3 linked regions of the Cricetulus griseus genome follow. The protein of the gene in region 1 purifies or fractionates together with the protein of each later gene. This does not show direct contact. Links are inferred from orthologs where the notes say so. Each region holds a gene or a part of one and is shown on either strand. Other genes may lie near its edges.

What was found.
Region 2: the proteins of Usp15 (region 1) and Tut1 purify together in Homo sapiens (affinity purification with mass spectrometry; 4 studies listed by BioGRID and IntAct, with this or other methods). This does not show direct contact. The link is inferred for Cricetulus griseus from reciprocal best matches to the Homo sapiens genes USP15 and TUT1.
Region 3: the proteins of Usp15 (region 1) and Rnf40 purify together in Homo sapiens (affinity purification with mass spectrometry; 4 studies listed by BioGRID and IntAct, with this or other methods). This does not show direct contact. The link is inferred for Cricetulus griseus from reciprocal best matches to the Homo sapiens genes USP15 and RNF40.

Annotation. Positions count from the first base shown.
Region 1 is NW_023276806.1:134,020,105-134,023,604, reverse strand, and holds part of Usp15 (ubiquitin carboxyl-terminal hydrolase 15), read right to left. Parts: intron 822-3,500; coding exon 648-821; intron 1-647. UniProt on the Homo sapiens protein: Hydrolase that removes conjugated ubiquitin from target proteins and regulates various pathways such as the TGF-beta receptor signaling, NF-kappa-B and RNF41/NRDP1-PRKN pathways.
Region 2 is NC_048596.1:51,133,579-51,137,078, forward strand, and holds the end of Tut1 (speckle targeted PIP5K1A-regulated poly(A) polymerase), read right to left. Parts: intron 2,680-3,500; coding exon 2,570-2,679; intron 2,433-2,569; coding exon 2,322-2,432; intron 2,204-2,321; coding exon 2,111-2,203; intron 1,599-2,110; coding exon 475-1,598; 3' UTR 425-474; downstream 1-424. UniProt on the Homo sapiens protein: Poly(A) polymerase that creates the 3'-poly(A) tail of specific pre-mRNAs. Localizes to nuclear speckles together with PIP5K1A and mediates polyadenylation of a select set of mRNAs, such as HMOX1.
Region 3 is NC_048596.1:73,156,338-73,159,474, forward strand, and holds part of Rnf40 (E3 ubiquitin-protein ligase BRE1B), read right to left. Parts: coding exon 3,003-3,137; intron 2,927-3,002; coding exon 2,801-2,926; intron 928-2,800; coding exon 787-927; intron 702-786; coding exon 600-701; intron 1-599.

The DNA of each region.
Region 1 (3,500 bases):
TTCCCTTTATTAGTAACCTTTTTCATAAAGATTTAGTTTTAATTATGTGTACACAAGTGTGAGTTTGCACCTGAGTGCAGATGCCCATGGAAGTCAGAAGAGGGCATCAGATCCTCTCCAGCTTGAGTCACAGAGGCATTTCTGAGCCACCTGATGTTGGTGCTGGCAACCTGGGTACTGGAAACTCAAGTCCTCTGGAGAGGTAGGAAGTGCTCTTAACTGGAGCCATCCCTCTCCAGCCCATTTCCAGACATTAAGAAAACAAAACCACTCCAGGCGTTGGTGGCGCACGCCTTTAATCCCAGCACTCAAGAGGCAGAGGCAGGTGGATCTCTTTGAGTTCGAGGCCAGCCTGGTCTCCAGAGCAAGTGCCAGGATAGGCTCCAAAGCTACACAGGTGTCTCAAACCCCCGAAAGAAAAAAAGAAAGAAAGAAAGAAAGAAAGAAAGAAAGAAAGAAAGGAAAGAAAGAAAGACAAAAACAAACAAAGAGCCCTAATCACCCACCCTGTCCTGTGCCCTGTGTCACATGGATGGGATGACACTGTAATGGGACATCATCCCTTTCACCTTAGTATTTTTTTCTTTTCTTTCTTGATTTTCTGGGGACAAGAGCACACTTGCTGAGAGTAAGCTTATCATACTCACCTTAAATGCTCTAGGAGTGACATAGCTGAACTTTCCAGACCACATCTGCTTGATCAATTCAGCATATGACTTAGCTATTTCACCTCTCATTCCTAAGGGATTGTCAAAATTCAGCTCTTCTTGGTACTTGTCATTGAGGAAATATTCAGTAAGTGGAGGTGTGTTGCTCAAACACTGCAAGGAACAAAATACATCTTAAAGTAAAAGTAATAACATAAATACATAATGTTAAAATGAAGAGTGAATCAAATCAATTTACTCTATCATATACAGAAACAAAAATGGTCTCTTGTACTAATTAACTGTCACTCAAATGGGGCACTTACTCATTTCACAAACTTTCAATCAGTTACTTATAATAAAAATACTAATGTGTGTTGCTGCAAAATCTACATTTAATTCTGACCACAGCAAACTACCTGTTAATTGGGAGAGAAGCTCGGAGTTCTCTTTCCTTCTTTTACTTGATTGGTAAGAATTATGGATTGTCTAATCATCCCAGGCACCTGAAAATGAGCCTGAGCAGGTAAAAACTGAGATAGCATGCAAGAAAAAAAAAAAAATCACTTAAAAGAGGTACAGATGGTTCATGATATCCATGGCCTCAATTCAATTACAGATAGGAGAATATTTGGGAAAAAAAGTTACATTCATACCTAACAAAAGTTTTTTGATCATTATTCTTTAGCTGGTAAAATGTAAAGGCACTATAGGCAAGCTAGAGATGATTTAAAATGTATAGGAGATACCTAGGTAATGTGGTAATTGTAAGTCATTTAATATAAAACACTTGTGTATCAGCCGGGCATTGGTGGTGCATGCCTTTAATTCCAGCACTCGGGAGGCAGAGGCAAGCGGGTCTCTCTGAGTTCGAGACCAGCCTGGTCTACAAGAGCTAGTTCCAGGACTGCCTCCAAAGCCACAGAGAAACCCTGTCTCAAAAAACCAAAAACACTTGTGTATCTGTGGATACCATGACAATGACTGTATTTACTGCTTCTGCAGCCAATGCCTTATCATAAAGGAGTTTTTAAACCTGTCATCTGGCTGGCAGTATTTATAAATGATAGTATTGACCAGTAAAGCCTAGGAAGACAACTTTGGGCAAACCCTGTTTTTTTTTTTGTTTGTTTGTTTGTTTTTTTGGGGGGGAGTTCGAGGCAGGCTTTCTCTGTGGCTTTGGAGGCTGTCCTGGAACTAGCTCTTGTAGACCAGGCTGGTCTCAAAGTCGAAGAGATCTACCTGCCTCTGCCTCCCGAGTGCTGGAATTAAAGGCGTGTGCCACCACCACCCAGTTTACAGTTCTTAATACAATAACAATCCAATTTTCTTTTATGAGAAAATTAAAAACTGCAACAAAGTTCTCCAACTTGTTTTTTATTTGAATCAATTCCTGATAAAACATTTAAGAGATGGTAGAAACACATTTTCCCACAATATTTTATCTTATGATGGAATAATTTTAAATTGATGATGTATATAATTTGACCTCAGTAGGAGCCATGTTACTTTACTAATGAATGTTTCAAATATGTAAAGTGTTACATACAGTATAATTATCTAAGTCATATAAATAGCCATATATACCTTTTTATGCAAGAATGTATTTTTCTTGGAGTCAAGTGACAAAGTGCTAGAAAAGAAATCAGTTGCGTGTGTGAAACATTAAAAAAAATCATTCTGTTCAGAGTTTCAATAGTCATGGAAATCAAAGTTTTGGGGAGCTGGTATGCAACTAAGTTGCATAAAGTTAAAAAGGCTTTGTAGTGATGTTCAACATGCTGGGATTATGAAGATAGTTTAAATTATGACCATATTATGTAGTCTGGTCAAAATACCAATGTAAGCATATTCTTTTACTTAGTTCTTTCAAGTAAATTATGATACTCTTTTTTTTTTTTTTGGTGTCAACTATACTCACTTATGTCTACTAAGTCATCATAGTTATCTATAAAATCTGAATGTAGTCTAAATTGGTAGTCAAGCCCCAACCCTCAAGAGGACCTTGGAAACTTTGCAGGCCTTGAGAGTCCTTTACATTTGCTTCCAGTATTAAAAAAAAAAAAAAAAAAAAAAAAAAACAACTTTGTATTAAGAGAAAATACATAGGGAGTTTATAATGTACAAGGTAATTAAGGGAAAGGATACATTCTTTTGATCCCAAATCCTTTTATGTCTCAACAATCATATATCCCACTTGAGTTTCATTTTCTTCTTTTGTTTGACATTTCACTTTTAATTGCAAATGAAGCACTGGAGGGAGGGCCAGGCAATAGAGACCTCATTAGAAGAACACAGCTGCAGTCACCTAGCAGCACCCTCTCATTTGCCACAAGTAGCAAAGGGGCAGTAACAGCAATATATAACTAGCTCTTAGTTTCCAAATCTTCATATTTGATTTGGTTACCATTATTAATAATTAATTAATAAAGTCTATTATTACACTTATACAAATAACCAAATTTATGGCTTTACCAAATAGTTCAAAAAATAAGCGGTGCTAACATGAATAATTTCTGAACATTATTTTTAATAAATTATTCATGAGTATTCTTAACTTGCAAGACCTCCCAAATACAACTAAAAAAAATTTTAGCTCTCTACCAGTGATCTTTTAAGCGTGTTTAATATTACTTCCTTACACTCATCTTAGAACCCAGTTCTCAGATATTCCTCTGACAATAAATGAATGCCTTTACTTCTTTGTGCACTGACAGACAGTCCCTTAACTTCTATGCTTCCTCTCAATGCCACACAACTTCACCTATTTGAAAACTATCTTCTCGCCATATTAGTTCCATCCTCTAAATGAGATTCGGGTATCCCATCTGGGATGTGCTCTCAGATCCTCAA
Region 2 (3,500 bases), on another chromosome or scaffold:
GGCAGGGCTCATGGCCGAAAACATCTGAAAGTAGGTCTGCGATGACTAAACAACCTTGATGTTAACTCTACAACAAAGGGGACCGGCAAACTTGTATGTCACCTGCACCTCTCAAGCCGGGCTGTGCTCCAGAAGGTCGGGTAAGGTAGACCAGTTCTAATGCAATAATTTACACATATCCAAATTTGGAAATCTCGTATCCAACTTAAGGGAAATTTGAACTCACTCTAGTGTTAAAGGGTAGAAAAGGCAGCAGAAATCAGTGCCTTTGTCTTGTGGTGTGGAACTCCCTATAAATGTGGTATGAGGTGGGAAGACCTCTGAAGTGGACATAATGACTGTTTTAGGATAGTCAGGCCAAGCAGGGCAGAGGCTACATTAAGACAGAGAGAAAGTGTTACCAGGTAGAAATCGCAGTTGTCCATTGTCTGTATTAAATAAACTACCAGCTTTATTGTCTGTGAGGTCGCCTCCTCACTCAAGGAGATTTTTAAGTGCTTGAGGGAGAAAAACCTGTAGGAAATGATGAAGCCCAGGGAACAGGCCTTGGGAATCTTGGACTGGTACCACAGTGAGCGCCTGGTCAGCTTGGGAGACAGATGCCACAAAGGTGAGGAGGGGCTCCCCCTGTAGCCTCTGTTGCTCACTGTCTGGTCCTTTCAGTTCCTGGGTCACACGAGCTTCCATTGCCAGCCACTCTGCTCCAGTGGTGGTGCCTCCTCTGCCTTCTTCTTTGGTTTGTTGCTGTAATCGTCTCCGGGCACGCCGCCTCCCCTGCCACACTTGGTGCCACAAAGCACAGCGCCAGCTCGCTGATGAGAGGTGTGATGTTTCCTTCCCTGTCTCACCCTGAGACTCTTCTCCAGCCACTTCGGGTTCCATGGGCTTCTGCTCAGCCAACTTGTCTAGACACTTCCAAGTCATCAGGGGCAACTGGCCTGATGGTGCAGAGCTCAGCAAGGCCCTGCCCTGAGACGTCTCTCGAAACTCTATTACCATTTCTTCCACCCCATTTTCACTGTGGTCCCCTGCACATCCCTGCGACTTCTCATTCCCCTCCTCCCAGCTCTTCTCTTGCCCATCTAGTCTCTGTCTTTTGTTTGTCCCTCCCAGGGAAGGGTCTTTGGTCCTGGGACCCTCTGACCTGGGCCTCTTGGTTCCCTGTTCTATATGACATCCAAGCGCTTCCTTTAACACTCGCACAAGAGCCGTAACGATCTGAGGAAAGGGGGCAGGTGGTAAGGGGATGAGCTTGGCAGACAGCAGGGAGCTAGGGGAGCTGGGCTGCAGAAGTGGCAGTAGTCCCCAGTCCCGGCCCCGGAAGGAACGCTGCTGGTACTGGAGGCTTCGGCAGTAACTAGCTGCTGCCCCACAACAGTTCTGCAGACGTCTGGCCACCCGGCTGGTTACATTGGCTGCAACATTGTGACTCAGGTCAAAGGGATCCTGGAGATTCATGGGGCCAAGGCGCAGCCCCTCCCAAAGATCAGAAGGCAGGCCCCCTGACACCAGCAATGCACAACCTTCCCGGAGGGACAGCAGGGAGCCCGAAAGATCCCAGCAAGAAACACAAGAGAAGAACTGGGCCAGCAGAGAACCTGGAAAAGGCAGATTAGGAAAAGGGTGTCTGTCACTTAGAAGCCATAATTGGGACATCCCTGCTGCTACTTCAGTAGGACTTTCTTCCCTTCTTAGGGCTTCAAAAGTGTCCTGAGAAATCCAGCTCCTCAGCCATGTCCTGCCCAGATGCTGCTGCTTGCCCTGGAGAGCAGTGTAACTAGGGAATACACCTCTTACTTAGCTGCCCAAGATATGGTTTTGTCATCCTTAAAACAGCAACCATGAGGGCTGGAGAGATGGCTCAGAGGTTAAGAGCAATGCCTGCTCTTCCAGAGGTCATGAGTTCAATTCCTGGCAACCACATGGTGGCTCACAGCCATCCGTAATGAGATCTAGTGCCCTCTTCTGGTGTGCAGGGATACATGATACATAGAGGCAGAATAATAAATAAATCAAAAAAAAAAAACAACAGTCATGGGGTTAGTGAAGACCGTGCCTATTCTAGAACTTAATATTATTGTTAGTTGTCTCCTAGGTTCCCCAGACTCACTGAGAGGCTCTAGGTTGGTGCTGGGCTCCAGTCGGGACGCATCCTTGGGGAAACTACAGTCCCAGCCATCAACTTCTACCTGCTCCCCTTCACCTGTGACAGTAAGAGAGGGTCAGGCTGGAAGTAGGAAAATTGGGGAAGAACGGGTAGAAAGTGGGGTGACAGTTGAGAAGAGGCTGCGGAGGTGACAGTAGAGGCTGTTCTGCATTACCTGATCTCTGGGTGAGCTGGGCCACAGGAGGAAGCACTGGAGGGTCTCTAGTCTGAAGGAAGTAGATCACTAGCAACGTCAAGGCGTAGTTATTGAGAAGGGGGCCGCCCCCTGAATAATAACCAATAATTCCAGTTAGGAAGAAGTATTTATAATCCCTGGTTCCTGTGCCCACCTTTTTTTCACCCTAAATCCCTCCCTTTGCCTAACACTAGCTCGGGCCAAGTCTGTGCTCTCCTCATTCTCACCTGACAGCCCATTATGCTGAGCCCAGCAGCGTACGGTATACACCAGAGGCCGGACTCGACCATCCATCTCAGAGCAGAGATTCAGGAAACGGGAGTTGTACAAGGCCAGCCTGGGACAATGGAGACACAAAGTTGTTATGGTGTAGGAATTCTTCAGACCTAATATCCTTCTATCTTTCATTATAGACTTAGGACCAGCTAAAATAAGATCCAAAGAGTTTTTCCCAAAGTTTTGCTAAAACACTGGTTATATGAAGGGGAACAAAATAAATAAATCTAGGGAATGTGGTTAAATGATGGGACATTTGCCCAGAGCCTGAGAGGTGGGGTGGGGGGAGTATGTATCAGTGGAACCTTAGGCAACACTACATTCCATATGCTCATTCTATACAGTCACCATTCATAAACCATGCTGCTTATATAGAACTGTTCAATAGCTGGGTATGGTAAGCATATGCCTATAATCCCAGCACTCAGGAGATTGAATAGGGAATATGGAAACCTTGTCTCAAAAGATAGAGGACCAGTGAGACGGCTCAGTGGGTAAGAGTCTGCTACCAAGACTGATACCTCAGTTCAGTCCCTAGCATTCACATGTTACAAGGAGAGAGCTGACTCCCACAAGTTGTTCTCACTACAGAGATGAGATATCACAAACAAACACATAATTTAAAACTTTTTTGAAGCCAGGCATTGGTGGTGCATCCCAGCACTCGGGAGGCAGAGGCCAACTGATCTCTGTGAGTTTGAGACCAGCCTGGTCTACAGAGCAAGTGCCAGGACAGGCTCCAAAGCTACACAGAGAAACCCTGTCTTGAAGAAAAAAAAAAAAAAAAAAAACACAGCACTGCAAACTGCACATTCCTGTAATCCCAGGATTCAGGAGGCTAAGGCAGGAGAATCAAGGGCTGGAGGCCAGTACAGAAGACAG
Region 3 (3,137 bases), on another chromosome or scaffold:
GCTGATGTTGGCCCCACATCTGACCACGATTTTGAATAAAAACCTCTGATGGAGCTGAAGATGCAGCTTAGTGAAGCATGAGCTTGGTTTGTAGACGGCCCTAGGTCTAATCCCCTGCATTGAATGCTCCTCCACTTCCCCAAACCTGATAAATAAAAAGCCTCTACTCTGTGTACAGGCTACAAGCCTGCCCCACACCCTTCGGGGTCTGCTGCTCACCCATCTCTCCTCCAACATCATGGCTCTACCTGGGGCCTTTCCCGTACATAAGCTCTCACCCCATTCTCTAAGCTTTGGGTCTATCTTAGGCGACAATTCCTTCTAGGAAGCCAGTTGCTACACAACCCCTTCCCAACCTCAGGGCTGCTCTGGAGACTTCCTTTGGGCTCTTACCATGCCTCTGACATCACATTACTTATCACAGAGATGGCAGCATTACCATCAATTAACTGCTGGGGTCGGGACAAAATCCCTCCCCTGCCACATGGCACATACACAACAAATGGGTTCTGACTGCACACTTAGTGTCTTCTGCCGTCCTGCCTCATTCTCCAGCACCAAAGACGACCCAACTCTCAGTAGCCATCACCACATCCCACCTTATACTCCTTGATCTCCTCCTGCAGGATCTCATCAGCATCTGCATAAACCTCCACCTTCCTTTGCTTCTCCAGTTTGCGCCGCAGCCGGGAAATATCCTCCTAGATCAGAAGATGCCAGGCTAAGAACCTGCATGCCTGCATGCCTCCCGCACTGGTAACCCACAGGCCCTCCCCAAGCACATACCTGAGCCCTCTTGAGATTGAAACTCTCTTTCTCTCGGGCAGCCCGGCTCTCTGCCAGGCACGGCTGGATCTCTCGAAGCCGAGTCTGCACATGCTCCAACTGCACCTTCAGGTCCTCAGCCAACTGGGCTGCTTCTACAGCCTGAGGTGGGTGGGAACAGAAAGAGAGGACTGTATGCCCAAGCCTGGGGGGCCACAGTCCACGGATCCTTCTGTCAAACATCCAGAGTGACGTCTGCACTGAGGCTGACCCTGCCTTGTGGTCCACAGCCTCACATCTTCCCAACACAGCTCCTTACTGTGTAACAGTGCTCCCTCTGGCCTTTGAGCCTCCAGCAGGCTCTTCTCTCTCCTGCCATCAGCAACTCTCCCTGGGATGCAGCTCTAAAATCATGTCTCCAAGGAGCACTATTACTTTTTCACACAGCCTTAGTTTCTTTCATCAAGCTGTTTGAACCAAGTATAGTGTGGCATGTGTTTGTCGTTCCAGCAGTTTGGAGGCTGAGGCAGGAGGATCACTGAGAGCTCAATGCTAGCCTGGAATACAGTACAAACTTGTTTGAAAAAGAAAAAGAGCCTGGTGTGGTGGTGCACACCTTTAATCCCAGCACTTAGGAGGTAGAAGCAGACTCTCTGAATTCAAGGCCAGCCTGGTCTACAGAGAGAGCTCCACAACAGCCAGGACCAACTGCACAGAGAGATTCTGTCTCAGAAAACAAATGAGCAAACAAGAAAAAAGGAAAAAGAAAAAGATGTGAGTGACGGGCAGCGTGACTTATGTGTGGTGTCACTGGTGGGGAGGGAGGGCTCACCCAGTGCTGGTTAGCATAAAGCCGAGCATGTAATAGGGACATAAAAATCCTGCTTACATGAATGAATTCACCAGAAGAGAATACACCAATAGTTATGAAATCAACATTAATCCGGTCTCTTTAAATTCTCTCTTTAATAATTTAATATTTCCATTTTATGAGCATTGGTGTTTTGCCTGTATTCATGTCTGTGTGAGGGTGGTGGACCCCCTGGAACTGGAGGTACAAACAAGTGAGAGCTGCCATGTGGGTGCTGAGAATTGAACCTAGATCCTCTGGAAGAGCAGCAATCTTAACTCTGAGCCATCTCTCCAGTTAATCCTCTTTCTCAATCCACTTTCAAACAAAGTCTCTAAATATTCCAGCCCAAGCTGGCCTCAGACTTGCTAGGTAGCTGAGGATGACCTTGAACTTCTTGGCCCTCCTGCTGACCTTTCCAGTGCTGAGTTTATAGGCCAGTTTTTATACACCATCATGCCCAGTTTATACAGTGCTGGAGCCTGAACCCAGAGCCTGATGTATGCTATGGAAGTTTACTCACCGAGTTACATCATCAGTCCGTTTTTCTTTTGTTTAATATAAACACTTATACTCTCAGCACCTGGGAGCCTGAGGCAGGAGGATCAAGAATTCAAGCTGGGCTGAAGAGATGGTTCAGTAGTTAATAACACTTGAGTTCTGGCAAGGGACCTGGTTTCAGTTCCCAGCACCCATGTGGCAGCTCACAGCCATCTATAACTCCAATTCAAGGGTATCTCATGCCCTCTTCTGGTCTCTCAAGGGCACCAGGCAAGCTTGTGGTACAAAGACGAACAAGTAGGCAAAGACATTCATATGCATAAAATCAAATAAGTAAATATAAAAACTAGTGCATGTGTTTCATCTCAGTACTCAAGGCAGATCTCTGTGAGTCTGAGGCCAGAGACCAGCTCTGTCTAGTCTACATAATGAATTCCAGGACAGCAGGAGCTAAATAGAGAGATCCTATCTCAAGACACACACACAATAAAAACAATTAAAATCTATCACTGCCCACACAGTAGTTGGTGAAGTGTTCACAAGCACCTGAGTTTGATTTCCAGAACACACAATTAAAAAAAAAAAAAAAAAAAAAAAAGAAGCAGAACCAAGCTTCACCCTGATCACCTATCAGGACTGCCAAGCAGAGCCACGGGGAATACATGCTCAAAAGCCCAGTCTTACCTTCCTCTTGTTAAGCTCCAGGGCCTGGCTGCGCAGGGTCAACTCCTTCTCCACACCCCCAAGGCTGCCCTGCAGAGCCCGCTCCTTTTCCTCAAGCTTCTGCACTGTCAGCAGCTGGGCATCCACCTGCGGATGGGAGGCCTCAGTACTGGGTGCAACCTCTCCAGCTTCATCCACAAGTGTCACACCATAGCTGCCATACCTGAGACTTGAGGCCAAGAACCTGCTCGCCCAACTCATCCTTCTCCTCTCGGAGCAGCTTGTGAATCTGGTTGGCCTTGATCCGCTCTGACATGAGTTTAAAGTTGGCGTCATCCTTTTCCCGCAACTGCTGCAG